Rhinolophus ferrumequinum: one gene and its partners. The protein of the gene in region 1 interacts with the protein of each later gene in a pairwise test. Links are inferred from orthologs where the notes say so. Each region holds a gene or a part of one and is shown in the gene's direction. Other genes may lie near its edges.

Region 1 (7,671 bases):
TGCTAGGTGGGTGGGTTTGGAGTCTGGATGGGGCACACAGGTGACAAGGAACCTGCAGTGAAGCTCTGGTGTTCCTGGGAGCCAGAGGGGGTGGGGACGGAGCAGATGGCATTGGTAGGAAGGCCAGCTTCGGGGCTGGCAGCCCAGACAGGCACTGTGGGGAAGCACTGGAGCTTGCAGTCCCCACGCGGGGGTTAGGGGTTCCCCACTCAGCAATAAATCACTGTGTCACACCAAATCCTAAATATATCACTACAAAGAGAGTTACTGCCACTCAGTGTCCTTCGTGATGCCGTCCAGCTGGAGATTTAGGTAGTAGAAGGTTCAGGAGAATTTTGAAATGGGGGGAGTGGGATTGATGTCTGGAGACAAACCCCAACATATGATGAGGATTGGAAAGCCATCTTTATTACTCTTGAAAGGGAGTCTCCAGCTTCTCTCCCCCACCACAATCTTAGCTCCCACTGAATCCATTTGGGGGCATAGATGAAGCCACAGGTCAGTCTTTGGACAACTTGCAGGCCTCTGGTGGGAGGAGGGAGAAAAGAAGAGGATGGAAAGGAAGTAAATCCAGGGACAGAAGCAAGGTTGCTGGTAATGGCTGGGGAAGAATGCATTCCCTCATTCCCTGTGTCAAAGAAGGGGTCTCGGTGACCTGTTTTCCTCTGCGTCTGCTCCTCTGCCCCCTTTATCCACTGCCAACTCAGAAACCTCTCTTATGAGTAGCCCAAAGCCCACCCTGGCTCCCTCTGGTGCCATCACAACCTATGACACAAATGGATGTGTCAACACACCTGGTGCCACTCTGATGATGTCAGCTTTGGGCCCTGCCCTCTGATGACATCACTTGTCCCTTTCATCCAGCACCCACAGAAGACTTGGTGAGTCCCAGTCCTCTTCTGTGGGACTTTACACTCTCACCTTGTTTCCTGGGAGTCAGTAAGAAGGCCTTGGAGTCCAGGCAGGAGGTCAGGGACCGGAATTCCTCCACACACTTCTCGGGAGGGTGTGGCAAGCGATCTGGAAGGGCAGAAAGGCCAGGCCCCATCAAACCCTCTACTTTTCAGCACCGCCCCTGGTGAGCACCTCCTGGAAGCATCCAGCCCTTCCTGGGATGATGTCACAGGGCCCAGAGTGAGGGACTCTTCTGCCCCTCCTGTGTTTCCCACCAACCCATCCTGCCTCCCTACTCACTGTAGAGGAGGAAGCGCTGATAACCCTGGCCCGTCTCTTTCAGCATGATTCCACCTGGGCAAGAGCTGGAGAAGAGCTTGGTCTTCATGTCTGGGCGGCCTGTCAGGGTGGGTTGGGGGGAAGTGAGAGGACAGAGATGCAAAACCAGGCAAGCCCAGGAGACTTGGGGAGCTACAGAGAACCAACCTTCAGTTCTGAGATCTGTGCTCCCTTCAGTAAGGTGGTAGATCCATTCCCGGGGCACACAGGACCCATTTTTCCTGCAAGGAGGAAAGACTGAGTGACATCCCCACCACACAGTACCAACCTTTATTCCCTCTTATTCCTTCTTGAAGCCCGGGTCCCCTTGGGTTTCAAGCTACCAAGGGATGGTTAGGCCCATCTCTCCGCAGAGGAAAACTAATAGAGCTGTTGAACTCAGTGGGCTAAAAAGAGTGAATATGCCAAACAGCGCAGCTTTTTGTGGGTGGGTGCTCACACTTTGGGCAGAGGCTGTACCTCTTGGTCCCTGCCCCCTCACCACTCACGTGCGGATGGTAGCATGGAGCTGGAGCTGTGTGGGTTCAGAGCCCACAGCCATGTTGAAGACAATGTTGTCCACAGGGTCAAAAGTCGCCAACTCCTCCTTGGTGGGAGCTGCCCCTGCGATGAAGTACCACTGGCCCAGGTGGGGCTCTGGGAACTGGAGAGACAAGGGGAGCAGAGGAGGGTGGGTCCCACTACAGGATTCATCTAACCTCTGTCAGGACAGCAAGACTTAGGGGCAGAGGTGTTGGCTGCCTTTTTCCAACTGGGGCTTGGATCCATGATAGGGAGTCATTAAATGACTTTTCCTCTTTGCCCTCAATCAACCTGAGTAACTACGCCCCCACCCCCTGCTTCCTGCCAATTCTACCATGTGTCTACATTGATGGGCATAGTACTGATATTTTTTTACTTGTCCTTGCTTTCATCATCACAACACTCACACTGTCTTCCTCCTTTCCTTTCCCAATGTGGCTTCCGGTCACCCTAGGCCACCCACTCAAGTCCCTCATAGCCCCCGCTATAAGCGTCCCCCTTTTCTCCATACCTCTTTCCCATCTACTCCCTGAGTTGTCAGTTGACTGTGCTCAGGGCACTGGTAGATGGAGTTAAGGAGAATGCCGTAGAGGTAAAGTAGAGCTGCCCAAATTTGGTGGAACATCTTCAAGCAATAGGGAGCTGGTGCTCTGCGTGCAGTGGCTGGTGCTTTAACTGTTCTCCGCTGGCTGCTCAGTCCACTCTGCTTCCAGCCCCCTTGCCTCAACCCTTGACCCTTTTACCTGCTAATGAGTAACTTCAACCTTGTTTTCCAAGTATGGAGTGGTTCGGCCCTTCCTCCCCCTGTCCTAGATGCAACCACTCCACAATACCCCCTGGCATGTTCAGGGTCTTTGGGGAATTATAAGGAAGCTGAGTCCTGAAGGTAGAAACCTGTGTTCTTTCAACCCATATCTGAGCTGGATGTCTGCTGTGTTGTGCAGCACTGAAGAGAGGTGGATTGATTGATTCATTCACTTACGGTAGCAAACTCTTTTGAGTTCCAGCTGTTTGCCAGGAACTCGCTAAGCCTTGGGGACGTAAAAATGAGTAAGACACAGTCCCTGGCCTTGAAGAAGTCAGTCTAAGGAAAACTAGCTGTGTAAACAAATCATTGCAATACAACCTGGTAAGTGCTTTAGAACAGATATGAATCAGGTGCTGGGGCATGGTTGATGGGAGGCTTTCTCTCTGAAGTTTATAATTGGGGAAACAACATGTACACCATCCAGAAAAGTTCACTGACAGATGAGTTCACTGAGTTTATTACTACAAGAGGCTCCATAACCTAGTAGTTAAAGATGATAGACATTGGTGTCAGGCAGAATGGGCTCAAACCCTAACTCTACCAGTTACTAGAACTTGGACAATTTTATTAATCTCTTATGCCTGTTTTTTCACCTGTAAATGAGTAAATCATCAATCTCATAGGCTTAAAAGAGACAATGCATAAAAGCCCTTAGCAAAGGCCTGCACATGGCAAGTCCAAAGTAATTATTTGGTAAAATTAATAGTAATGTTTGTAAAGCACTTATAGCTTCCGGTGGGTAATAAATTCTCAAATAGGAGGTAAGGAAAGAATTGTCAAGAGGCAGTCATTGGATAATGCCAGTTGAGTTGGGTGGAGTTAATGCAATGAAAAGGTGGCGCTTCCTCAATCGATTTGTAACTCAAGACTGACAAAAGATTTGTCCTGCGAGGTGAGGCAGGCTTAGGGTATATGAGGGTGCATTATACTATTATTTTTAAGCAATATTTGACATTTTAAATAATAAAAACCAATTTATTGGGGCAGTAGAGGTGCCTGACCCAGAAGGGTCTAGTAGGCCTGGATTTGTCAGTTTTGCCACTTACGTTGGCTAGGTGTACGCACTATATAAAATGGATGTAGTAACTATCTCAAGCGTTCAAAGGCTTTTAAATGTGACACTACATAAAACCCTTAGAAAACTGGCTGGCACAAACTAAGTGCTCATTAAACAGGTGTTTATCAGAACTCTTACCTGAAACAGTACTGGGACATGGGTATAGATAAACAACGAATCCCAGAAAGGCTGGGCGCCAGGGGCCGGCACGCCGCAGCGACGGGTAAGGCTGGGGTTGTGGCTGCGCAGAGGGGCCCAGACACTAGCCCGAGGGCGGGGGTGGGAGAAAAGGGCAGAGAGGTAGTAACTCTCTGGACCTTAGCCTACGGAAGCACTTTGGCGGTCCCTTCAATTCCCCAGGGTCAGTTTTGTGTTTTGGTCCAGTCGAACTTCATTTGCTCCCAGCTCCCAAACTCAGAGGTACCCCCCCGACACTTTTTTCTTTTTACAAAAGTCATGCAAGGTAAATCCTTAGTTTCTCCAAAACATGGCGTATTCCCTCGGCCGCGCACTGCCGGTGAGGAACATGGCGCCCACACTCCGCAAAACGCCCACCAGGCCGACCCGAGGTCAGGCCCAACGACTCGTCCGCATTCAACACAGCTCGCGAACCACCCCTAACCGCCTAAGGAAAGGGTGACTTCGGGAGGCGCCATAGGAGTGGCGTAGCGAGAGTGAGAGAGATGGAATTTTAGGTGGCCAGGACAGTGCCGTCTCAAAGTCTCTGCGGACTAACATAGGTTAACGAGACACAATCCTCAGTCGCCAAACTCCAAGATCCATACAACCGACCAAAGCGTCTTGAGACAGTCGTAGTCTCATCTGGTGATTTTTTTTTTTCCAGGCATTTGTAGTAGCCACCTCAATCTCCCACTGCACAAGCGCGCGCCCAGAAGAAATTAACAGCATCAGACGATGGGGCGGTGCCTAACTGTGTACGCATGCGTACTGCGATGCACGCAGGCGCAATACGGCCCCTCGGGCGACGGCGGCGGCGGCTTCTCGGGGTGCTCGGCTCCCTCCCATCTTGGCCGGCCCTGCCCGTCTCGCCCCAGGAACTCACTGTTTGGGGCCGCGGACTTTCTTGTCGTGCCCCAGGAAAGTAAAGCTTGGGACCTGGGGGAGCCGGAAGTTCCGCCTCGCGATTTCCAAATACTGTCGGGGAAACGGAAGTGGCCGTCCGTGGCAGGTTGGAGGAGACCGGAAGTGACGGTACCGGGGGGAAGTCGGAGGCGGAGCCGCAGGGTGGTGTGTGTGTATTTGGTGTGTGTTGGTTGCGACGCTCTGCTGGAGAACCGAAGGAAGGCGGAAGAGGGGGGCAGTCATCTAGCCAGTCTGGCCCCCCGTGAGTGTTCGTCATCTCGGGTCTGTCGTGACTTAGGCGGGTTTAATGGGCGTGGCGCGCGTGCGCGAAACCACTTTCTCCGCAGAGTCTAGCGCGACATTCCCTCCACCCCACTCCTCCCCGCTCTCGCGTTGTCCCAGGGTTTGCCGTCTTCTGGGGTCCTTGTTTCGCGACCGGTGATGACACTGGTCTCGCGCTTCCTTCCCTCCCTGCTTCCTAGCCCGACTTGCCCTCCCTTATTGTGATTGGCATCGTGGAGCCCCTCCCACCTCCCCGTCCCCTTAGCTCCCTGTGCGGTCCGTGTCTTGCCCATTGTGTTTTTCCCTGTGCCCCGGAATCAGAAGGGGGATGGGGGCGGGTGTGAGTGTGTGTGCTTGTGTGGGAGAAACTCTTTAGGTATTGGGGCGGAGACTCAGGCCGGAGAGGCTTCTGGGTATATAAAATCTGCTCTGGGCTACAGCGGGCCTCTCTCCATTCTTCCTTAGAGAGCTGTAGGCCATGGAGCCCAGTAACAGTAACAGTACCAGTACCACTATGGAGGCGCCTGACAGCCTGGAGGTGCTGGTGAAGACCCTGGATTCTCAGACTCGGACCTTTATTGTGGGGGCCCAGGTGAGACCCCAGTACTTCTGGAAGACAGTCATTTACCCTTTCTCTTGTAGGTCTCTTAGCCTGAGAGAAAAACCTGATTTTCTGGTCCTCAACTTTTCTTTCGTTGATTCCTTTGTTCATATTCTAGACAGAACATTTTCTGATGTTTCTTGTTGAGTGAGAAGGTATGGTTTCTGTTGAATGAGGTAGATTTTGTTTTGCCTTCCTCCACCTTGATAGAACTCATTGCAGAGGGAAATAATGGAGGGAGGAGGAATCTGTATGCCATCATCTTGAGTGAACTGCAGCTCAAAGGCACAGACATGGCTCCTGCCTTTGGGAATGGAAACAGAACACAGAGACCCCAAAGACAAGTGTGTCTTAAAAACAAAAATTGGTCAGGTCTCTATAGTGTGTTTTTAAAAGCGAGAAATGAGAACTGGTAATGCAGGTAGATCCTTAGTAGACTGTTGAGGGGAATAACTAATGTTTGTGGTATAATTTGAATCTTTGGAGCTCAACAACATGGATACAAGTATCCATATTACTACTCTTGTAATATTTGGAGACAGACTTGTGAGAGGTTGGTCTGTGGTTTTTAAAACACAGTGTTACGTGTATTTCAGAAAACCATGTAGGTTTTTGTGATTATATGTACGTAAGCAGCCTGATACTTCCCAAGAGTCAGTTGCCTAATTAGGAAAAATGTTTTTCTTTTTTGCTGCCTTCTCTCTTTTTCTTCCTTAACCTGATTGTCCACCCGATTTTCCGTGTTGTTACTATTATCTTTGGGATTAGAGTTGTATCATTTTGTGTTTGGGGAGGGATCACTGGTATCTTTAGACACACATTTCTTTGGGAGCCAGGCAAAGGAGTGAAGGGAATGTCAGTTGGCTTTTCTGTTTCTCAGCCATGTACTTTTCTCCTAGGCCTAGAAACTGAATTTCCTTATGTTCATTGTCTGTTTTTGACAGGAGTTGTCTGAGTTTGGGGCTTTGCGCCATCCTTACCTCACAGTCAAGACAAGTGGCTAGTGATTTTATAATGGGATGGTTTTTACGCTTCACCCCCAGAAGTCATTTGTCCCTCTTCTGTCCTTCCTCTTTCCTTCATTCCCTCATACTTGTGTGTGTCCCTTCTTCGCAGATGAATGTAAAGGAGTTTAAGGAGCACATTGCTGCCTCTGTCAGCATCCCCTCAGAGAAACAACGGCTCATCTACCAGGGACGAGTTCTGCAGGATGATAAGAAGCTCCAGGAATACAGTAAGGGGGTGGGGGAGGCATTTGAGAGGTTGAGGTAATTGCCCAGAGGGATGAGCTGAGATGGAGGGTTTACCTGATCATACAATGTTTTCGTGTTTGTTTTGTTTTGTTTCACTTTTTCTCCCCAGACGTTGGGGGAAAGGTTATCCACCTGGTGGAACGTGCTCCTCCTCAGACTCAGATCCCTTCTGGGGCATCTTCTGGGACAGGGTCTGCCTCAGCCACCCATGGTGGGGGACCCTCATCTGGTCCTCGGGGGCCTGCGACCTCTGTTCATGACCGGAATGCCAACAGCTATGTCATGGTTGGAACCTTCAATCTTCCTGTAAGCTTGTGTTCCACATGGGATGGTTTTTGTGGGGAAGGGTAGTTTTGGTTGTGGTAACAGCAGAGGGCTCTTAAGACAGGTGTCGCAGTCTTTAGATTGGGGTTGGAGGGCCCTGCGGTCTGCTAATAGCCGCAGTCTTGAGGGGAAAAAGGGTGGGGCTCCAGAGAATGAGTTGAAAGTGTGGGGGCCTCAGTATTTGGCTTCTCCCAGAGCAACTTCCCTTACCCTTTCCCCAGAGTGACGGCTCTGCTGTGGATGTTCACATCAACATGGAACAGGCCCCGATTCAGGTATCATGGGGCCTGGGAGGGTCAGCGAAGGGGATCTGGGAGAAGGAGGCCGTGAGGTGGGTCGGACCTGGTTGAGGAGATGCTGGGACCTGGTTCAGTAGGCTGTGGATCTCGTGGCTTCATTTCAAACCTGCCCTGATCTTCCCTCTCATTGTAGAGTGAGCCCCGGGTTCGGCTGGTGATGGCTCAGCACATGATCAGGGATATACAGACCTTACTTTCCAGGATGGAGG
Region 2 (7,820 bases), on another chromosome or scaffold:
GGAGTTTCATTGTAGGGCTCACGGTATCCTGTAGCAAACTTAACAAGATCCCATGCTAACGGCAGTTCAGCTGCCACCGGGGCCGCATGCATCCATTTTACATCCCCTCCTGAATTCTCCAAATGGTGCATACTTCACATCTCTGGCTTCCCATAAATCTATGGCCCCTGAAACAACAGGCTGCCCACAAAATTCACCCCAAAAGGGGGTGGGGGTGTTGGTGAATGAAAACAAAAAGGGAGAAAGAGGAAGAACAAAAAGGCTGAGTTTCTTTAAATTTCTGGCTCTGTACAGCACAAGCATTTTCCAATGAAAAATAAAGAATTCTTTCTTCTGTGTCTATTTCAGCTGGCACCCAGCTTTGCCTTGTGAATTATGTCACCGCATCCTTAATCTGTCCCACAAGGTAAAACAAAATGAGCAACTTAACAACTAGATGTGTGCTTGTGTGGAGGCAAGGGCTCATTTAAAAGCTTTTCAAATAATGTTGCTGTATTCGCTACTATTTTGCCACACACCCCTCAGTTTTTTCAAACCTATGGGAAAGTTGTTACTTCACACTCAAGGTGTATAAATAATGCCTCCGGGGGGAGCAACTGCTCCCCCCCCCGTCCCCCCTCCCCACTTTTTATTGCTTTTAGTCTTTTGGGATTCCTGGGTTGTCTACAAATAGATTAGCCTCTAAGAATTCTGAGTAACCATGGTTAGAAAAAAACACTGGTTTAATTAGCCATGGTCCTATTTTTGAAATTACATCTGCTCACTTTCTCTCTCTCTCTAAATGAGGATTGGTCTTTGCAAAAACTTGAAGAGGATGGATGGGGGTGTGTTGGGGGGGTTGTGCATGTTAGTTTTTATTTGAATTAATTTTCATGCTTTTGAAAGCGAAATCAAGAGTATTCAGTGAATTATGTATCATCATACATTAAACATGATCAAATGAAGAGAGCTGAAAAGAAATGATTGCAGAAAAATGAATTGCTGGGAATACTGGATCATCTGATGTGTGCTGCTGTACCAAGTGATAGCAAATCATTCTTTGCAATTCTGTTTTGCATGGCTACATCAGTTTTTCATCCCCAGACTTGATTAATCATTGAAGTGATGAAAATTATAAGGCCACATGGCTTGCTGAAGGGTCACTGAAAATCAGAAAGCAAGTACAGAATTCATAGGACTAGATTCCCAAGTTTGAAAGTCTTCATATGGTTTCTCACTTGATATTTTTTTCATTTCTGAAATAGTGGTAGAAATGGCCATCACTATTTTAGAAATTAAAATGTTAAGAATACCTCTTAACATCAGAACTCTTTCAGGACAATGTTCTTCATTGCCTTTGATGACAACTCTGCAATGATCCTTGTTGGTTTTGTTTAAATGGCTACCTGAAAATCATTGGGGGTGGGGGAAGGGGCATTCAAACATTCAACTTTTCCTGGGTCTAATATTTGTTCCCGACTTCAGCATTTGTCTTTAAAGAATTCTTAAATTCTTTAAAAGAATGCACAGGGAAATCACAGGAAGTGCACTTTTTTGGGGGGGGTTCATCTATATTATTATAGTTATCTATTGGCACACACAAATTACCCCCCAATTTATTAACTTAAACAACAAAAGGGTTAGGAATCTGGTGCAGCTTAGCTGGGCATCTCTAGCTCAGGGTCTCTAACAAAGCCTAATAAGTTGCATCGACCAGGGCTGAGGTCATATCAAGGCTTGATTGGGGGATGATCCCCTTCCAATCTCACGCACACGGCTCCAGGCAGCCTCAGGTCCGTAGCTGTAGTGGGACACATTAGTTCCTTGCCATGTGGGCCTCTCCATTGGGTGGCTCACAACATGGCAGCTGTGTTTCTTCAAAGCAAGTGAGTGAGAGAAGGCAGTCCAAAACAAAAGCCATTGTCTTTTTATAACCTAAACTTGGAAGTGGAAACCTGTAATTTTTTTTCTAACTTTTTGTTAGAAAGAAGCCACTAGGTGCAGCTCATATCTAAGTAGAGGGGATTTCACAGGGTCTGAACACCAGAATAGGATTACGCAGGGTCATCTTAAAATTTGCACTTTACACCATTTTGTCTTAATGTGCATTGTTTGGATTTTTCATATAAAGCTAAAGCCCTCTGACATTACAGTTGTTGTTAAATAACCATGACTTCAGAGGTCTAGAATTCAAGTGAAGGGTTTGCAATAATAATTTTCCTTGGTTTTGGGTGGTAATCCTCCTTCCATAAATAGAAATGGGGGGTTGTATAAAATAGAATGACAGTAAAGATTCTCTCGGTTTCTATTTTAACATGAAAGCACAAATCAAAATTTAATGATAAACGCTCAAACATTCCAAGTGTGAATGTGAAACGGCACAGTCACTTTGAAAGAGAGTTTGATAGTATCTTTAAAAAGTTAAATATAAATTTACCATACCACCCAACATTTCATTCCTAGGCATCTACTTATGGTCCACATGACATATATTTACAAATGTTCATAGCAGCAGCATTCATAATACCCAAAAACTTGAAACATCTAAATGTCCACCAACTGGTGAGTAGGTACACAAAATGTGGTATATTTATACAATGGAATATTACTTAGTGACAAGGGGTGGAACACTGATACATGCTATGACACAGATAATCCTCAAAAACATTATGCTAAATGAAAGAAAGCAGACAAAGACCACCTATTGTTAGATTCCATTTATATGACATGTCTAGAACAGATAAATCCACTGAGACAGGAAGTAGATTAGCTGTTGTTGGGGCTGAGGATGGGAACCAGGAGTAACTGCAAAGGGGTATGAAGGATCCTTTTGGGGTGAGGAAAATGTTCTGAAATGAGTGGTTATGGTTTCACAACTCTACAAATTTACCAAGAATCACTGAATTGTATACAAAGGGAGTGAATGTCATAACATGTAAATTATACCTTAATAAAACTGTAAAACTATATTTTAAATGATACTGGGTGAAAACTTGGGCTTACTCAGCATAAATGAAGTCAAGTTCAGCTATGTCAGTTTCAGGCCTCTCATTCCACTTCCCTTTTTCTTCCCATCTGTCTGAAATTAGGTCCTAAGATTGAATTCTGGGAACCTGGTCCCTGATATGGCTAACTGTCAAATCATTAAACCACAGAAAGTTGATTGTATTTTTATTATAGTCCTTCTATTTTTTTTCCCCATCTGGTTTTTTTAGCCTCAATTTCCTTTGGGTTAATTTTTAAAGGATTTTGCAACTACTGGTTTAAAAGAATGCTACTTCCCCTCCCAACCCACACACGCCTCCTTTTTACCTAAGGTGGGAGATAAAGCTGATTTCCTCCTTTTCAGGTGTTTGCAGAATATAATGAGCATTTCTGGCTGAATTATAAAGGAGATTAATTTCAATTTGGCTACTGGAAATTCGTGGTTTAATCATTCTCCAGGCTTTTCTATCTCTCTATCTTTTTATCTGACAATTCTGGGAGATTGAGGGGGAATTTTGGTGTTTTCCTCCTATCATTTCCTAAAGTAATTGCACTTTTTTTAAAAACTAGATTCTTCACTTAAAGTTATCTAGTTGCTTCCAGTTCAATTACAACACATTTAAAAAACGGGTTACTGTGCTGGCTAGCAAGCTAAGTTAAAGTAAAACTTCGAAAGGGGCCAAGGTCTAAAGTTCGCACATTCTTGTGAAGTCTGTTTTGTTTCCACCGAAGGAGACCCCATTATCCATAGCTCTACCAATCACGTACATTTATTTCCTTTAGAGCCTCATGAATGAGGAAAAAGAAGTTCAAGTGAGGGAAAATGGGTTCAAATGAAGGTCAGATACCCAAAAGAGTTTTCTGGTTACTGTGTTGCTGGGGTGGAAAAAGTGGGGACAAGGTAACCAGATGTGGGTGGCCCCAGGAGGTTGTGCGATTCCAACACAGTTGGTCTTGGCAGGAAAAGAGATGACGGCCTGTCTTTGAGACACCCAGTTGACACAGCCTACTGTGTGCCAGGTGCTGGGGATACAAAGAAAACTTGTGAGATGCTTGTGTTGAAGGTGCTTTAAACGTAGCAAAACATAGTCTCGGCCCTGAAGGCCCTTGCAGTCCACCTTTTAGGTTGCATCAGGTGGGTGCAATCGCGGGTTCCCCCAGCAGTCTGAGGGCGTTGAAGGAATACTGGGGGGCGGGAAAGAAACGCTGCCCTCCCGTCCTCCACAGTAGGCCAGCCCTGCAGGCGAAGACAGACACGCCCTCTCCAAAGGGCAGACCCGCCTCGAGGAGGGCGGATCCGGGCAGGGCTGGCCGCCGGGCCCTCACCCGACCCCCGCGGACGCGGCCCAGCGCGGCGCCCGCTCCTCACGTGTCCCTCCCGGCCCTGGGGCCGCCTCACGTTCTGCTTCCGTCCGACCCTTCCGACTTCCGGTAAAGAGTCCCCGTCCCGCACCTCCGCGCCCACCCGGCACCGCCACGCGGCGCCTCTCTGTGCGCGGCCCCCGATGCGCTCGGCTGCCGCAGCTCCTCGGGGCCCCACAGCTACCATCGAGCCTCGCCGCTTCGCCGCGACTCGGTGGCCCGGGCGGCGCTCGTTCCCGCGGCCGGTGCGGCGGGGCGGGCGGGGCGGCAGCGACGCGACTCCGGGCCCGTATCCCTCCGCCGCCCCTCCCCCGCCCGGCCCCGGCCCCCCTCCCTCCGGGCTGCGCTCGCCTCCCTCCGCCTCAGACTGTTTTGGTAGCAACGGCAACGGCGGCGGCGCGTTTCAGCCCGGCTCCCGGCGGCTCCTCGGTTTCAGCGGGCCTCCCCGCCCCTTCGTCGTCCTCCTTCTCCCTCTCGCCGGCCCGGGCGTCCCCCCGGCCGCGCCAACCCGCGCCTCCCCGCTCGGCGCCCGCGCGTCCCCGCCGCGTTCCGGCGTTTCCTCGGCGCGCCCGGCTCCCGGCTGTCCCCGCCCGGCGTGCGGGCCGGTGTATGGGCCCCTCACCATGTCGCTGAAGCCTCAGCAGCAGCAGCAGCAGCAGCAGCAGCCACCGCCGCCTGCGGCCGCTAGTGCCCGCAAACCCGGCGGCGGCCTTCTCTCGTCGCCCGCCGCCGCACCGTCGCCGTCCTCGCCCTCAGTCTCGTCGTCCTCGGCCGCGGCTTCCTCCTCCGCAGCGGCGGCGAGCGCAGGCGGCGGGCGGCCCGGCCTGGGCAGGTGGGTGTCGCGCCCCAGGCCCCTCTGCTCCGGGCCCGAACAAGCCCGGGCCTCGCGTCCCCTCCCCCGCGGCCCTCACAGCCGTCCCCGCCCCGTGACCCGCTGGGCTTGGGGGGGTGGGCTGGGGGCCCGCAGTGGGGGTGGGGCTCCCGTTCCGTCTGGAGCCTGGGGGGTTCGGTGGGGGGCGCCGCGGGATCCCTCTGGGAATGTCAGGCCGTGTCCAGCCTCCTGCAACACCCGCACCCCCTCCCCCAAACGGTCAAGATGGAAGGACTGGGCAGCCGCCTCCTCTCCATTTAAGTGTTTGGGAGCGGTTTACAGGTCGCAGCAATTGTCAGCCCCGGTTCCACCTTCCTTAGGCCTCCTCCGCCCCCAGTGGGGTGTGCTTGGGCAGCGCACCCACCCCCAGCTTAAATACTAATGTGGAAGGAAGGGTCTTTAGGGTTGGTTCCGTCTTCCGAAACTTGCCAACTCCCCCATTGGGGAATAACGAGGGAGGGGGAAAGTTAGGGCAGCGCCCCCTCCCTCCCCGTTAACGGGGCAGCCACCGGGCACATCTGGAATCGTTAGGGTCTGTCCAGTGCCCTCAACCTCCCCCTTCCCTGCCCTGGGAAAGATCGAAGGACCGGGTTGGGGTGGGTGGGCAGTGGCCCCCCCCGCACCCCTCCCCATTTAAATCCAAGGCGGCGGCGGGGGCTCCAGAACTCCGTGGAATCGTCCCGCTCCGTGCAGCCTCCCGCAGCGTTCCGCCCTCCCCCACCTGAGGAAGGGGTGGGGAGTGCCCGGCCCCCTCCCGGCCTCCCTCCTTCCCCCGCAAGGCCTCCCCGGCGCGGGTGGTGGCCGAGCCGCATTGCTGTTCCGAGGCCGCGGAGAAGGCGCCTTTGAATAGTGGTGGGCGAGGGCCGGCCCCAGGCGTGCGTCAGAAGCCCGGGCCGGCCTGGGGACCTGGCGTGGTGGTGCTAGTGCTGGTGGCGGCAGGGAGCTGGCACGCTGCGCATTTTGTATCAACCCCCGCCCCAGTTTTTGAAATTTCGAGGGGAGAGGGATTGCAGCAGGAGACATGGTGGCAGAAATGCGGGTGTTTACTTGCGTCGTCTCCCCATAACCCAGGTTTGTGGTAGACACTGAAGGCTCGGTGTCGTCTCAGCTAACCGGGTCTGACTGGAGGGTGTGTTTGTGCGGGAAGGCCTGTGGGGCGGTGTGTGTGTGTGTGTGTGTGTGTGCGCGCGCGTGTGTGTGTGTGTGTGTGGCGGGGGGGGGTTGTCAGTTCGTATTTCACGAACCAAGAAAATGCTTAGTGTTCAAAGCAAATGTCAATAGACTCCATTCCATTGTGGCCAGTGTCCTTAACTTGGGGAGTGCCGCCAGCGCTCACCAAGGGCACGCAAGTCCATTTCCCCTGTGCCCCAGCCCATCCGTGCTGCCGGCTTTGCCATGCCTCCCGTAGGCCTAGGTGGGGTTGACAGGGTTGGTGACCAGGGTCCTCCTCAAATCGACATCCTGGCCTTTAGAAGGTGGGATAAAGGGATTTTCTTTTCCCCGTACACTGAGTTTTCTTTTTAAAAACAGGTTTTCAGCAATCCATTTCCAGAGAATTTTCATTTATGGCAGGAGAAGTTACCCATCAAAATGAATCTGAGCCGATTTTTAAGGAATTCTGCAGCCTTCAATGGGGGGAATGGGGACATTGGGTTTTTTGACTCCTCCCCCCACCTCGCCCCGTCAGTTTTTCCCCTTCTCAGAAACACCTACAAAAAGCTACTTAGCCAAACTAATTCAAATGAAATGGCTATTTACCCAGTTCTGTCCACTAAGGAGTCTATAATAGCTTCATTTTCTCTGTGGCATCCACAATGAAAAATGGAAAAAATTTAAATACAATTTTTCTAGTAAGGATGCATTTTTTTTCCTTCTTTGGCATCAAATAGAAATCTGGCACATAAATTCAACTCGTTCAAATAGTTAAAAAGTAAAAGGTTTTTAAGTTGCGTTGGCTCTCCTTAGGCTTTGACTTTTCACGTGAGGCATAAATTATAGCCCTTACTCTTTTTGATATGTGAAGTTTTGTTTAATGTATTGGACCCACATAATGTGAAATTTTACTCTTCTGCAGATCTTTAGTTAATGTACTTGTAGAATTTCTTTAGTTTGGAATCACTGTTTTTGAATCACAGTTACAATTTCTAGAGTGTCCTCACTTAGGTTTGTGTGTATGAGCAGTTAAAAGAAGTTTCTGGGGCCAAGGGTGGAGAAAGAAAATGCAGCATTGTGTTTAGAGATAGCAAAATACTCTTGAAAGTCTAGAAATTCACATGTCCGCTTTACATAACATAACATTTCTTCATATTTGACTTCTGGGGTTTTGGTGAATGGTGGATTTTCATGACTTTCAAAAATTTATTTTGTCTTTAATTGGCATATATATTTCAGAAGGTGGCTCTTTTAGGACAATGTAACCACAATATTAAAGTTTGGACAAAATTTTACCTTAATCCTTTTCTTATTTTTACTTTCTACCTTTTCATTTTTATGTAGTTTTAGTGATTGTGTATGTTATTTGGTGTTGAGCTTTGTTTTCTCCTTAACTTTCTTTTTTTAGGTTTCTTCTTAACCATTCTATTGTTGGGAATTGAGTTTCCACAGTTTTGCTAATATTATAGGT
Region 3 (7,311 bases), on another chromosome or scaffold:
GGGCCTGAGCGGTGTGGTACCCACGATGCATTTCACCATCGCCGAGGGCTTTGTCAAGGCCACCACGGTGGGCCAGATGGGCTGGTTCTTCCTCATGGCCGTGATGTACATCACTGGGGCCGGCCTCTACGCGGCTCGAATCCCTGAGCGCTTCTTTCCTGGAAAGTTTGACATTTGGGTAAGAAGCGGCTCCTCCCTGTGATGGGTGGGGACTGGCCTGGAGTTAAAAGGGCAGTACGAGACTTCGGGTCGGGCACTGTTTGTGGTACATACATATACATGGGAGAAATAACCAACATTAACATTTTGGTGTATTCCTGACAGGACTTTTAAAATTTTTTCTACAACAGATATATCACTTTCATGATAAAAAATTTTAAGGTGCAACTAGGAGAGGTAAATGCTTTCTCCGCCTTACTCCCAGTCCTTCCGTGCCACTTCCCTAAGGACTCTTCTCGTTGTCCCTACAGTTCCAGTCTCATCAGATTTTCCACGTCCTGGTGGTGGCGGCAGCCTTTGTCCATTTCTACGGGGTCTCCAACCTGCAGGAATTCCGCCACGGCCTGGAAGGCGGCTGTACTGATGACTCACTCCTCTGAGCCGTCTCACCGGAGGGCGGGAGGGACTTCCCAAGTGCTTTTAAACACAACTTCTTTGCTGAAGTGACAGGAAGAGTCTCAGTTGTCTGTTTCTAGAGGAAACCTCTTAGAGAGTTGAGTCCGAGCAAGCTTCAGCCCACTTCCCACCCTGGGACAGTAAATTTTCCATTTCCCTGGCTGAGGGAAGGTGGGGGTGGCCACACGTCACCATGCCCCTCCTTGGCAGTCCCCTCAGCAAGGCGACTCTGTCCCTGCAGAGTACTTTGAAGCTCATGTTGAGATTTTACCCCTCCTCCAACCATTTTGGGGAAAAGTGATGAACTGGGACTCTTCGGAAATTCTGTTTCTGGAAGAAAAAGTCCCTCCCTTACCGCGTCCTTACTTTGTAACCTGGCTTATAACAGGCCACCGTTTTTGTAGCACACTTTTCAAAAACAATTGTAACCGGTCCCATCTTTCCAGGGCCTGAATCTGCTTACACAGCAGGAAGAATAGAGTCACCAACTTTGATGCAGCCCGGCTAATCATGCAAATGTGTCCAGGCTTCAGATAACTTGAGTTTCAATGTTTTTTTTTCTTGGCAGAGTAATGTAAAATTAAAAAGGGGAAAGATATTTAATATTTAATACTAAGCTTTAAAAAGAAATCTGCTATCATTGCTATGTATCTTGATGCAAAGACTATGGTGATAATAAAAGAAAGTACAGAAGACAGTTAGTGTCCAAAGACTTAACATGCGTGGTCTCAGCCCTCTGCACTCTTGTCCGTGGGTTAGAATCAGCAAAGTCATCTCAGGCCCTGCTGAGGCACACATCTGGGTCCTCGGCATTGCTCGGCCAGCACGCGTGGGCCGCGGAGAAGCCGACTGAGTTCCCAGCATCTGCTCCTCAATACAGCCTTGTTTTTCTCTACTCATTGCACAGAATTTGACGAGAGAAATTCGCACACTGTATCACTTTGTAGTCGTGAGAAGGCCCTCAGAGGTGTCAGGCTGCGTCCCTTTTGAGTATCCAAGGTCAGCACATCTGAGAGCTTAGTTCCTTTCCGACTGCCTGCCATGCTTACGGTTGTGTCGTCAGGAGGTTAGTCCATGCTTTCTGTGCAGTCGTACAGTGTCACCTCCCAGCTAACGGGGGCAGTTAGGAATCTTCCTGAGTTACAAAGATGGGTTCACGTCAAGGTTAGGTTTGTACACTGGATGAATAAGGGATCCTTTTAAAGAATAATCTGACTAGGCTGACAAACAGGAAGTTTCTCAACCTCACGTGGTAATCAGGGAAATGCAAGCTAAAACCAAAGTGTGACTCCACCTCCTCCTTCCGACTGACAGATTAGATAGAAGCCCTGACACTGAGTGGGTGTGGGTGTGGGATGCCGTTGGGAGCAGGACCAGGGTGTGTGGACATGCGTGGCGTGTGTGTACGTGTGGCACCCCCAAACAGTTCATGAGAGGCCATGAGATGGACCTGAAGTCCACCCCGGATTACTTCATTAAAAAGCACTTGTTCTGACCACTAAACTGTTTCCTTGACAGCTCACGGCCTGACTTTGAAAAACACTACTCTTGAGCAACTTGGCTTGTATCAAAAGACTCACTATAGCTGTGTGTAGGCACAGCACACAGCAAACGAGGCAAATGTCCACAACTTGAACGGAAAAAGAAATCTTGGTTTAGCCGCACAATGAAACACGACTTAGTTACAGTGACAACAACACGGTTGGGTCTCAAAGATTAGGGGGAGTGAGGGGAGCAACTTACGGAAAAATCTATCAGGTTCAGAAGTTTGCAAAACCAATGCTAGTTTAAGGGTATGAATATGGTAAAAATTCAAAAGGAAATGTTAATTTAGGCGCATGGTGCCCCTGAAGGGTAAGAACTGGAGGAGAGGAGGGACACACTATTTCAGAACTTAGCTCGTTCCTTGTAACTAGCTGGTCAGCACATGGTGTTCTTAAACCATGCGTATTTTTTCTTGCATATATGTAGTAAGGGTTTAACAAGATGAGCTGATGGCAGAGCACACACTGGTGACCTGCAGGGTGCAATGTTCACAAACGCCTGTACGCTGGGGACAACCAACTGCAGCTCAGTGGCAGCTGTGCCCTTTGTGGAGGGGTGTGCTCTCTGGTTCACCACACTGCCTAGTCCCTGGAGGCATGTTTGCAAGCTCTCCTGTCGCATCCGATCCAACGCCATCTTCCACAGGAACTACGGAGGCCGGAGCGACTGAAATCCGGTGTTTTCTCATTTTCAGTAGGAGACAGGACCAGGGAAAGAGGGTCTGAGACAAAGCGTTTCTTGAGCATGTACTTTGTACTTTGCGTATGTCATTTTGTATCTTTTTAACCCTGTGAAGTAGGTGGTATTATCCCATGCCACATGTGAAAAAATTAAGGTCCCAAAAGACTAAGACTTTTTCCCAAGATGACAGATAGGATCAGAGCCAGTATCTGAATCCAGACCATTCTGAGTTAAACCCCATGTTCTAAAGCCTCCGAAAAGTTCAAAGGCACAAAAAGAAACAGAGGGAAAAACCTCCCTCCTGCCCTGTCTTCCAACCAACCAGCCACATCCTTTTGCCAAAGAAACGAATGTTACCACTTCATTTTCAATCTTTCCAAATGCATTCTATACATATACAATCAAATAGGAATATATTTTCCCAACCTTTTTATGCAAATAATAGCAAACTAGATGCACTGTTCACAACTTCAGGGTATTGGAGGGTGCGCTCTACTTTATTGAACCAGTCCCCTACTTACGGAGGTGAAGGTGGTTTTCCATATAACCTACGACGACCTTGCACACACGTTACTTTACGTGTGCAAGAGTGTGTATGAAGGAGAAAAGATAAAAATCTCAGTTAAGGATATCTGCATTCGTAACTTGAGTGAACTTTTCCAAATGCAATAGAATTTGTACCACTCCTGCAGTTCACCCCCAGCGTGTGAATCAGGGATAATGTGAGATCGTAGGGAGATGATGCCAAAGATGGAAAGGAAACACTGTAAAATTAGATTGCTGCCCACTTGCCTATGGTTTTATCCCTAAGGAATCAAAGGCCCGAGAGGGAAACAGTGTCATCAAACACAATGTTTGGACAAAAATGGGGTCAAGGAGCCTGATCCCCTTGCCAGCCAGTCAGCTGAGTGCGCCCAAATCGGTCAGAAGCGAAATCCCTAAAGGGGACGCCCCGCGCCCCGGAGCTGGAGACGTCGGCAGACGAAAGGGGAGATGAGGCCTCCTTGGACTTCTGATGGGTTCCTTCGCACGTCCCTCAGCGCAGGGACCAACGTCCGGCGACCACCAGTCCCTTCCACGAACTGTCTCGGGGTGCGAGCAGCAGAGAATCACCTGCGGGACGGCGGCGGGCCCCACTATGATGCAGAGAATGCGGAGGTCAGGGGGTCGCAGGGCGGCCCGAAAGGTCACAGCCTGGAAGACACCTGCAGCCTCCGTGGCCTTTCTCGCCGTGAGAGCGTCCCTGAAGCCCTGGCAGGTGAAACGTGCCCCCGGCCATCAGTGCCGTGGCTCCCGGACCCTTCGCGCCCTCCCAGCCGCGGGATCTCGGGGACCAGCTCACTGTCGGCCGCCGCGGGAGGCCGGGCGCCCAACACCTGCGGGTCACGTGCCGCCGCTGCCCCACGTGACGCGGCTCCGGGAGGGGAGGGGCGGTCCGCGCTCTGCGACGTCATCACGTCGCGCGGCCGCGGGGACGGCACCCGACGAGCGGGGCGACGGCTCGCGAGGCTCCGGGTCGGGGCGGCGGCGGCGGCGCCCGGGCTCCTGAGCCGCCTGCTGGCCGCGCCCATCTCACCCCATCCCCACGCGCGGGGCGCAGGTGAGCTGACGGAGGGCGTGGGTGGCGGTGGGCGCTTCCTGCCGGGCCCGACCCGGGTTCCGGCCCTGCCCGCCTGTCCTCCCCGCCGAGGGCACGCAGCGGAGGGGGCTCGGCGCGCGGCGCTCAGCTCCGCCCGCCGGGACCCCAGCTGCGGTGCCCGCCGCGTCCCCGGTGCCGTCGGGGGACACTTCCTCCTCCTCCCGCCGGGGTTCAGCTGGGCCGGAACCTGACGCCCTCCCCGAGTCCTCCATGGTGCAACCCCCATGCAGATGTTATGGAGGTTCTGGGACAGTGGCCTCGGGAACGGGAGGGCGGAGGAAGTGCCGAGACTTGGCCCGGCGAGGCAGGCATCCCCACGCCGCGCTCGAGCTACCGTCGGTGTGACGGGCACGGAGACGTGGCCCGAGCCTGTGGGGACCCCCCAGAAAGCCTCCACAGTCCATGGGCATCTGTTAGACCTTTCCTCCCTCCGCAGCGTCGCAACTCAGTTGGCTTCAGGAAAATCTTTTTGAAAACATCATATGCTCTGATGACTCACCTCCTTTTCTGTAAAGTGGGCCCCGCAGGGTTGCTGGAGGGATTATCTCGAGTGTCACAGAGCAATACGCTAGCTGTAAACAGGAGGACGTGCGATGTCGGTTTTCCCGTTCAAAAAGTGTGGTGTGAGTTTTGGACTCTTGAAGACCCTGGTTTGAGGTTTATTCTTGGATCATTTCAGAAAGTTTTGGATTCCAACTAAGACAGACTTAACCACCCCGTTTCATTCCCCAGAGTTGTCATTGATGAAGAAAAGGAAAGAAATAGTGTCACAAAGCCTGTCACGTACAGCGCAACACGGGCAGTGAGAACGAGAAGGGATGGCGAAGGGTTAAGAAAGAAACAGAAATCAACAGAGTTTTGAAAGGGGCCAAGGGTCTCCCAGCCTCAAAGGACTGCGAGCCCCGAATCGGGCCACCTTGTGGCTTTTATTGATTCACATACAAGGAAGTCGCATTGTTTTCTCCACGGTCTGTGGGTCTCATACACCACACCAGAAAACTGGTTCAAACCGATCACCCTTGCCTGCCGAAAGTCCCATGATGTATAATTATTGTTTGTACCTCCCCAGGGGACAAAACCTTTATGTTTAAAACATACTGAGATGGAGAACTGATGTTATCACATCTAGAACCACTTCCCAAGCAGGTTGTGGGAAGGAATACAGCCACAGAGGCAGAAGCTCTCCTTAGACGGGGGAAGTGGAAAGCTGTACCCTCCTCTATCAACCCCGTGAATTCTCCTGGTGGTCCCCACACAACTGTGCCTGTCTTGGGTCGTTCCTTTCTTGAGGAATCTTACCTGTCATTGGCTAGCCAGCCATGCTTTGGGGCCAAACAAGGAGATGGCATGAAAGGAAACAATGTCCCTGAAAGGAATAGTCTCACAGACTCTTCTTTCTTTTTAGGGGTAGGCACGAGGGGACAGACGGGCAGGCAGCTGCATGACAACAACCATTAAGAAAGTACTTTTTTCATTTTTTGATGTGTAATCTATTACTACGTTCATTCAAGTGATGCGTGCTGGTGAATTTTGCAGGTGACTGACTGTGGCAGTAAAATTAGTGGGCTTTGGCTAAGTTTGTATCCCGAGAAGGCTGTTTGTTTTGGTACAGAGAATTACTACAAATATTAACTTGTTGGTGTCGACGGACATTGACTGATAGCGTAGAGTAGGAAGACCCTTCTGGAGAAGAGCTTCAGGCAGGACCTTAATCAACTGGAAGCCCACACACAGGCCTGCGCGGTTCGCATCACTCAGTGTAGGTAGCGGGTCCTCATTGGCAGTTTCGTTTTAAAAGGAATCCAGATACATTTGGAAATCACCATAAATGATTCTTTGCCTAGTTCTTTAGAAAAAAAGTTTATTTTCACTGACTGGCTTTCACAGCTCTAAGGTGGAGGCACAATTTCTCTTTTCTTGAATGCATTGACTAGGCACTTACTGTACACCTGCCTGGACAGAAAAAATACATAACACAGGATCCCCACCCTCTCCGCACTTCCCCGTGTAAACTACTCGTGGGTGTTGAATAACATGTACGCGCCTTTAAGAAATTTTGTCTTTTCATCATTTTATCATTGGAGATAACAGCCTGTTGTAGATGAGCCGGACGTGTAGTTTCTTTCTATTTATAATACAGTTGAGTATTGATTATGATAAATGTCAGGAGGTAAGCGTACTCAGAGAAGAGATCATTTTTACTTGGGTTACTTAGTGGCTGGATTGTGGGGGTGATGCCAGGAATGGGGGTGCTCTCTGTTTGTTGTTTGGTTCTCAGGAAGCCTCCTTGAGCTGTAACGCTAATTGAAAATGTCCTGTCCCCACCCCCAACCCCCATCCTTCAGATATGCCCCCTCTTTTTTTCTCTTGTATTTGCAGAATCCCAGGGCCCATTTCATTCTTTTTCCACGTTGCTTGATGGGAGGCATCATGGCCCCCAAAGACATCATGACAAATACTCACGCGAAGTCCATCCTCAACTCGATGAACTCCCTCCGGAAGAGCAACACGCTGTGCGACGTGACCCTCAGAGTGGAGCAGAAGGACTTCCCTGCCCACCGCATCGTGCTGGCTGCCTGTAGCGACTACTTCTGCGCCATGTTCACGAGCGAGGTGAAACTTGTAACCTTGCGGTCGGCTCGCTTCATTGGCTCAAATCGCAGTTCGACAGAACAGTGGATTTCTGTAGGTGGGATTGCCATGTTTCCCCAAAAATAAGACCTAGCTGGATAATCAGCTCTATTGCATCTTTTGGAGCAAAAATTAATATAAGATCCGGTCTTGTGTTAGATAAGACCGAGTCTTATAGTAAAATAAGACCGGGTCTTATA
Region 4 (7,941 bases), on another chromosome or scaffold:
AAATATTTCACAGGCAGGTGTGGATGGGACTGGAAGGGTATTTTAGAGGAGGTGGGAGGTGCAATGTGAGCAAAGGTGTAGAAACTTGAAATCGCATGGCCTATTGGGGAGCTCTGAGTAGCTGTGTGCTTATTTCATGGAGTATAAGGAGGGACTGGTGAAAGATAAGACTGGAAAGATGAAGGATGCCAGATCTCAGAGGACCTCATGTTCTGCAAAAAAATAGCTTTCACCTGACCAGCCATCTTGGTGCACAGGAATCATGCCTGAGGTCAGGTGTAATCCATTCTGTCTGACAGCAACTTCCAATAGGACCTACAGGAGAAGTTCTATTGAGAGCTTTATGAAAGCAACAGAAAATAATAAACTTAAGAATTATATACATTTTGTTATGGAGTTAATTTTTTTCATTACTGCATAAATATTTGTTGGCACATAAACTGCTAAGGGATGAGCATATATTAGAACTCGCATTCTATTGAGGAATTAAAACATTAAAGAACTCAAGCTTTAATTACTAATTATTTTAAATAATATTTTTAAAAAACATAAATGTTACACCATGGAACAGGGGGCATTAACGTGAGGTATTCCTTAACTGGAATTAGTAAAACAAACAAAAACCCTTAGCCAAGTGTGGCTGGAAAATATAATTTAGCTGCTTTTTCCTTTGTTGAAGTTTCATAAAAATTTATTTGAGCCCAACTAATGACATATGCTGTGGAGCAAGATCTGAAATGCTCCTAGCCACTTCTTTTGTTGTCCAGTTTTTGTCTTCTTTCTTCTGTTCTGCACTGAGATAGTCTCTTTTTCATATCAACCTTATACTGGATCCTCCACTAAAAATTACTCAAACATCAGATTTTTAAATAAAAATTCTTATAACCTGATTTCAATGGATGCTTTTCTCTGCTCAAATACATTCTGCAAAATGCCTGTCACTGATTGCTTAGTGCAGCAAAATGTATTTTCTGTTCTAACATGGGCCCCCAACTGCTAGACTTTCTATGTACATCTCTAGCTGCAGTTTTGCACCTCCCCCACCCCTTTTGGATCTTCTCTGATTTCAGGCTCCTGGATTGTTGCCTGTGTTGCTGCAGGTAGAGTTCTATGCTACCATGATTGATTTTGGATGGGAAGAGAGACTTCCTGTTTTAGCTCAATCCCAAAATACTCATCCCTTCAACTCCAGTGTAGACACAATGTCCCCACCCTATGCCTTCCCTTTCCACAGCTCCACTGAGCTTACTATTTAACCACACCCCTTAACCTCATTGGTTACTCCAGTTTCAAATTTCTTAGTTGAGTTTCATGAATAAATGGGCTTCATAAGGGTAAGAATGGTGTCATTTTTAGAAAATATTAATAATTTAAGTCCAGTTTAGAGACTCTATTATTTAAAGAGTGCCAGAATATCCTCAAAGTTAATGATCATATACTTTAATAAAGAATGCTGCTAGATTCTTGAGTATTGGCAAATATTAGCGATCAATATGTGATATATGGATTGACACATGGTGCCCATGCACTGTAGTGATCAGTAAGAACCATATGTTCATAGTTCATTATTATGGATGGAGAGTGAGTGGTTAATCATTAACAATCTATGGAATACTTACTTACTCTGTAACAATGCTGTGGATCTAAAATGAAACCGTTTTTCTTTTGTTTGAAGTGAAACTAATGTTTATCAATAGTAAGACCATTTCATCCGCAACTGAATTTTGTTTACTAAGTTATTGAACAATGGGATAAAAAGTTGTATGGTGTTTCTTTTTTGTATTACTGAAATATTTTAATTTCATGTCTGAACTTAAAAACAGCACCTTTTTATTTTTCACCCTTGTTTCCCTTCCTCTAATAAATAATGTCCCTTTTCCCTGGACTGTAAATGATGAATATTGTGGTAGGCATATCTATTATTGGCTATAATGCCCAACTTGTCTATGATAGTTTGGTGATGGTATCAAAATATCAGATTTTCAGCTGAACCTTGACTCAGAGGGAAAAAATAATTATTTATAGAGCTGAAAGAGTTTAAACAGTTGATTATACTATACTAAGTAAAATATAATTGGAAAAATCAAATAAACTAGAAGTTAGTAATAAAGTTCACCAAAACAGTGACTTCTGGACACTTAAATTTTTATTATATGGGAATTTTCATGAAATTCAAGCAAAAACAAAATGTTCTATCTGTTTCCATATGTCCTCTTATAGTGTCTATAGATTATGATCACAAGCCAGTCTTCATTCCTGTTAACAACTAAAATTTTTCCTTCCCACATACAAAACTTACAAGGACTTTGGTCATTTTGAGTTTTGATTCTAACAACCAAGGATCAGCCTAATCAAGAATGGAAACAGTGTGAAAATGTTACAGATCAAGCCACTGTTTCAAATCATTTAAAATGTTAATTCTGACAGTTGGAAAATGTTACTCAGAAAAAATCAGGTGTCAGCAGCATGTTTGATTACAAAAAGTAAGAAGCAAGAACCTCTTCAAATGTCAGAATAACACACTATCCATTTCATACTTCATAGAACTGCCTTCATTATAAATCACGTTATCTTCTCATCTCTGAAGCATCCCAGACACATTCTTTAACCATGAATTCATAAGACTTTACTCTGAGTGAGACGTCGGGATCAGTAACCTTTTGAGTGAGTGTGGGAAGTGGGAAAGGAGACGATAGCGGCCTCCTGGGAATTGCTGAAGGCAACCACTGAGCAGAACAAGGATGCTTTGGTTCTCTTGGTCTCTGTGTCCCCTGTTATTGTGTAGCGGGTTATTGTTGGGAAATATTTACTCACCTGGCATTCCAAGAAATGGAGCCCTCCCCCTGCCCCCCAGCTGTTTGAGAGTTCTGTCATTAAATAGATGAATGTTCTAGCCAGCGGAGTAAAAAAAAAACTGACAGACCAGATTGTGGTCTGAAATCCTATTCAGAAATGCTGCCATCGTGTGGCACTTTGTAGTCATGACCGGAAGAGTCCTGGGGTGGGTCATATAGTTCATCGCAAGATGGCTGGCCTCCAGCAAAATCTATTCCTATAACTCTCTAAGTTCATATTAAATCATTTCCGTGGGCACAGAGTAAACCATAGTGAATACTGTGGAAATCTTGTTGTTTTTAGAATTTGTGAACTTCCCCCCCACTAAATTGACAACATGACCAACTTATGTGGGTGATGTGTTTAAAGAGAAAAAAAAAAACAGTTTTTAAAAGCGGAAATAAGAAGTCTGTTTTGCAACTTTATAAGCTGTGTGTCTTATATTTTATAGAGATAGCTGCCATCTGAATTACTAAAATGTGTGCTTAGAACCCACAAATCAATATCAATTCATTTGGAATACATACAATTTAAGAGACATATTTTCCCCTGAAATCTATGGGTTAGTTATACTACTAACACTGCAAGAAATCATTTTATCCATATTTATATTAAAAGCAATATTTGGTCAATAGAAGCTGACACCTTAGATAGAACTAATAATAAACGGGGCCATTTATCTTTAATCTTACTTCACACACAGATTTTACAATGGCGATATGAGGAAAATGAATAGTGGAATCTCCATTTCACAACTGAGAAAGGTAGATGAAGAAGTTAAGTACAAAATCTCAAGACAACACTAAACATTTAAATGAACTCAGAGCTGTGCTACCTCTAATTTCTATTTCATTATTCAAACTTCACGTGCAATTTTCTTTCATTCAAACACCTTTTAAATACCCAGTAAACTTTTTGGTAAATATAGACTTTTTTTTTTTTACAATTTCATATTAAGTAATCAACTTTATATATTCTGGGAGAAAAACTAGAAAAAGATGATTCAGAAATCTAATCCATTCCTTTAGAAGTGTGTAAATTACACGATTGATGTACACAGTTTAAAATCTTAACATCTAGTCTTATTCCAAATAACTCGTTCCACTTAAAGACATTGCAAATGATGAGGACCTGCTCCTCCTAAATTTCAGTAACAGTTAACACATACACAATGCTTAAAATAAGCATATAATATGGGCCAAGCACTTTCATTTTCCACATACTAATTCATTTAACTTCTTAAAAACCCCATGAGCTAGGTAACTGTGTGCATATGACAGATGAGAAAACAGGTGTAGGTCTGCTAAGTGATTTGCCCAAGGTCACACAGCTATTTAGGTGGCAGAGTGAAATTCAAAACCACTCACTCTCTGGCTCCCAAAGCAGCATTCTCAAAAAGTCACCCTGTGCTGTTAGACACCACTTTCCTTTTGCAGCATCTAAAGTAAATTACCATTCTTTTACATTCTTTTATTTTGTATAGCAAGTTATCAAATTAATCACCTCCATACTATTCAAACAGTGTGACAAAAATCCTTGAAAGGTCATTGTTAAGTCCAACTTAATGGGCATGAACATAGATCTTAATGTTATAAATACCATTTGTCTAAATGACAAGCTGCTGCATACTTGAAATGACAAAACCAAGCTTGAGTAGTAAAGGATGGAGGGAGGATCTCTGAGCTCTTTGTATACCTGAACAATAGCCGTGTAGCTCTTAAATAAGTATAACTGCAAGGCAAATGTAGTTGTATATATTACCTAATCTGTTATTTAAACTGAAAGAAGCAAGACCCATTCTATTTAATTTTATTTAAGATTTATTTGTATTAATATTTTTTCTTCTAATTCAGAAATTATAAAGTCTTTGTAAGAACTAGTCATTTTCCCCCTTTTTTGATGGGACCCCTAGGTGCCCTTTCATGATGCTAAATGCCATTCCCATAAAAAAAAATTTAGTTAATGATATTGTAAATAAGTAATGTTTTAACTTGTGTGTATGTGTGGGTGTGGGGGTGTGTGTTAACCACAAAACCAGAGGGGGAAGTGTGGGAGCAAGTGGGTTGGCCAGTGGCAAAAAAACCTCATGACACATCTCTCCGCCTCCCTGTGTCGGTGGGGAAAGTCTGGAGCAGCATTTAAATTCTGGCAGGTCCTGGTTGTCAGCAGCAAGAGAGGAAGCAAGGAGTGCAGCTCCATCTGGGACTGGACTCTCTTCTCAGGTCAGTTACAGTCTTCTGAGCCCGCCTCAGACCAAGGTAAGCCTGCAGTTTACTATTTTGCTGTTGTCCTATGCATTCAGTTTCAATTCATGGAGGTCAGGTTCTTAGGAAAAGAGTTTAACTGTACTGCTGCTGATCAGATTTAAATTGTTCTAGTCTTGAGTAAGCATGCCGGAATACAGAGGATAGGTGACCAACTATTTTGAAAGCCAGTCAAATATAAAACTTAAAATTCCTTCCACTGAGTCCTTAAAAGGACTGAAACTACTTCTTCCAATCCAAAAAAAAAAAAGTAAAATTCTGTGCTCCTGTGCAATGATTATACGTATTTCATTGTAAATGGATAGATGATTGTGAAGGCATTTAAAAGGACAATGATCTTTAGTGTTAATGTAAGGCAATGATAGCACAATTTTTAAAATTATTTGACTAATCCTATTTTCAAGGAAAAAAAAACCCTTTCTAAATATTTTACTTCTGTATTTAGCTGTTAAAATTTTCACCAAAATACCTGTTTGACACTATGTAGACTTATTATCACAAATAGAAAAGCTGTTGACTGTTTTCAATGTTTCCTTTTTTGTTTCAAATTCGAGAATAACTTATTTAAATAACTCATTTTAGAGATAGCTTCATCTCACCTAAAGTAGTACCTTTTTAATAATTTAAGTTAAAAATCACATTTGAAATGCATGCTGAAAAAATAGAGAAAGCAAATTTCTTTCATGGTTTTATTTTCTCTCTCTGTTTTTCTTCTCTGAAAAGTAAAGATTCCTATACTAGTTTATTATTTTAATTAAATTACTGTTGAGCTGTGTTTAGATTTAGATAGCTGGCCATATCATCTAATAATGGTATAATCTCTGAAAGTCTAAATTTAAAAGTTGAATATATAGACTTGCAAAATTCCCCTCTCCCTTGACTAATGGTGAAAGATGGAGAATAAGGGCGGCATTACAAATAGTAACTCAAAAGACCATTATGTTAAAAAGAAAAGGGTTCTCTAAGAAGTAGAAAACATTTTACAAAAAATATATTTTATTTGTGGTTATTTTGTAATGTGGTAGCATAAAAAGGTATCACCGTTTTAACCTGTGATCAAATATTCATTACAAATTTTTTGCAGGAAAAATCACTACCATGAGAATTGCAGTGATTTGCTTCTGCCTCTTAGGCATCGCCTACACCCTTCCAGTGAGTACTACAGAAGCTTAAAGAAAATTCCTCAAAATAAATAAGTTGTACACTCTCATGTACTGGGAACACATTCACATTGTAACCTTTCTTCATCTTTTCTGTTTCAAAGGTTAAACATGCCGATTCTGGCAGCTCTGAGGAAAGGCAGGTAAGCATCTTATAGGTTTATCATACAGTTACATGATTTATCCAACTGCTTCAAGAAGCACCACAAACATATTTGTTGCAATTTTACTTGTTTTCATAGTCAAGCCTGTTAATTTATAAGTATTTATTGACTGCCTGCTTTCATTCTAGGCCAATACCAAGCACAGTATAATTTTTAATTAAATGTAAGCTCCAAACATCAAACTAGATTTTTTTATTTAATAAAATAATGCTGTAGGCCATTATTATCACTAATGTAAACTGAGTTCTGTGAAGTTGTAAGACTTCCTTTCCAAGAGTCAACATATTGTTGTAGAAGTAGAAAATTCTGTCCTTTGTTTTACTTAGTGGAAGTTTCTTTACAATTCATCTCACATATTGGACAATTTATATGACTATAATATTTACAATATCTCCTAAGATTTTTGCTAAGAAGCCCATTATAAAAAGAAAGCCTATTTATGCTGTTTGCATCTATTGTGCTTGTCAGCTGACTCTAGATCACATTTTTCTAACCAAACATCAGCCCAAATCAAACTCTTTATTATAAGTTTTTGACCAACACCAGAGATGTACCTGCCCCTCCACAATAGATGAAACTGGGCCAGCCAAACAACAAATGGTCATTGTCCCAAGGAGCTTGGACAAAAAGACACAGAGTTCAATTCACATGAACGGAATAAAGGCCAATATAGAGTTGCCCAGAGTCACTGTGATTAGATTGCTTAATAAAGACACTAGGAGAGGTATTGTGTGTGGTTGGGTGTGCAAGTCAGTGTGTGGGGGTGGGTCTGTTTTCCAATTGATTTAAGAACACAGGTATTGAATCAAAACAATAAGCCAGAAAAATGAACATTTTCAGAGACGATAGAGGTCATGCAAGAATTAGTGTCTTTTTAATCGAAAAAAAATATGGCACATGAAGCCATGGCAGTATAAGTTATGAAATAATTATTAAGAGTTAAGTGAAGAGTTCAATCTTTTAAAATCCTAGAAATTTAGTAGAAAATATGGGAAGTCTATAAGGAGATACCTCTGAAGATGAACACTGGTTATTTGTGAGTGTTATAATTATTGGGTGGATTTTAGCCTGTTTATTTTGCTTAGCTTTATTTTTTTCATTTTACATTTTTAATTATAAATTTAACCTATAAATACATTCTCCCTGAGCCAGTATTGCATGTATCATCAGGATGTATATAACAAATATAAATTATATTTCTATGTAATACTTATATAAATATATTTTTAAAGGAAAAAAAAAGGCAAACTTTGAACCCATCTAGACCAGTAGCTTTTCGTACCTTTTCCAGCAAGGAACCCCTTCTTTCAGCAAAAACTTTCAGAGAAGCCCAATCCAAAGCTGCTCAGGTTACAGCCAGCCATAGGGAAACACAAAATGATGGCTGGTTTCCTCCCTCCTCTTCTCCGCCCAACCCCCAAACACCTTGATGGCTGTGAAGGAACTCTATGGAACTTTAGCGTTCTCATTCTCAATGACAGGGATTTGAGGTGATTGGCCACGGGTGATACATCCCAT

Evidence for each region.
Region 2: the proteins of BAG6 (region 1) and ATXN2 interact in binary tests that used the Homo sapiens proteins (3 or more experiments, as listed by UniProt). The link is inferred for Rhinolophus ferrumequinum from reciprocal best matches to the Homo sapiens genes BAG6 and ATXN2.
Region 3: the proteins of BAG6 (region 1) and KLHL12 interact in binary tests that used the Homo sapiens proteins (3 or more experiments, as listed by UniProt). The two-hybrid records come from large-scale screens. The link is inferred for Rhinolophus ferrumequinum from reciprocal best matches to the Homo sapiens genes BAG6 and KLHL12.
Region 4: the proteins of BAG6 (region 1) and SPP1 interact in binary tests that used the Homo sapiens proteins (3 or more experiments, as listed by UniProt). The link is inferred for Rhinolophus ferrumequinum from reciprocal best matches to the Homo sapiens genes BAG6 and SPP1.

The regions. Positions count from the first base shown.
Region 1 is NC_046286.1:2,146,828-2,154,498, reverse strand, and holds the start of BAG6 (large proline-rich protein BAG6), read left to right. Parts: upstream 1-4,670; 5' UTR 4,671-4,809; exon of another isoform or gene 4,810-4,985; intron 4,986-5,450; 5' UTR 5,451-5,463; coding exon 5,464-5,577; intron 5,578-6,702; coding exon 6,703-6,820; intron 6,821-6,948; coding exon 6,949-7,145; intron 7,146-7,384; coding exon 7,385-7,438; intron 7,439-7,595; coding exon 7,596-7,670; intron 7,671-7,671. Other genes in the region: APOM (apolipoprotein M), read right to left, coding at 500-525, 922-1,020, 1,195-1,293, 1,381-1,454, 1,722-1,876, 4,413-4,529. UniProt on the Homo sapiens protein: ATP-independent molecular chaperone preventing the aggregation of misfolded and hydrophobic patches-containing proteins.
Region 2 is NC_046308.1:6,921,739-6,929,558, reverse strand, and holds the start of ATXN2 (ataxin-2), read left to right. Parts: upstream 1-4,817; 5' UTR 4,818-4,949; coding exon 4,950-5,158; intron 5,159-7,820. UniProt on the Homo sapiens protein: Involved in EGFR trafficking, acting as negative regulator of endocytic EGFR internalization at the plasma membrane.
Region 3 is NC_046310.1:165,673-172,983, forward strand, and holds the start of KLHL12 (kelch-like protein 12), read left to right. Parts: upstream 1-4,302; 5' UTR 4,303-4,441; intron 4,442-6,825; exon of another isoform or gene 6,826-6,859; 5' UTR 6,860-6,898; coding exon 6,899-7,093; intron 7,094-7,311. Other genes in the region: ADIPOR1 (adiponectin receptor protein 1), read left to right, coding at 1-178, 471-599. UniProt on the Homo sapiens protein: Substrate-specific adapter of a BCR (BTB-CUL3-RBX1) E3 ubiquitin ligase complex that acts as a negative regulator of Wnt signaling pathway and ER-Golgi transport.
Region 4 is NC_046288.1:41,878,509-41,886,449, forward strand, and holds the start of SPP1 (osteopontin), read left to right. Parts: upstream 1-4,936; 5' UTR 4,937-5,093; intron 5,094-6,183; 5' UTR 6,184-6,197; coding exon 6,198-6,251; intron 6,252-6,363; coding exon 6,364-6,402; intron 6,403-7,941. UniProt on the Homo sapiens protein: Major non-collagenous bone protein that binds tightly to hydroxyapatite. Appears to form an integral part of the mineralized matrix. Probably important to cell-matrix interaction.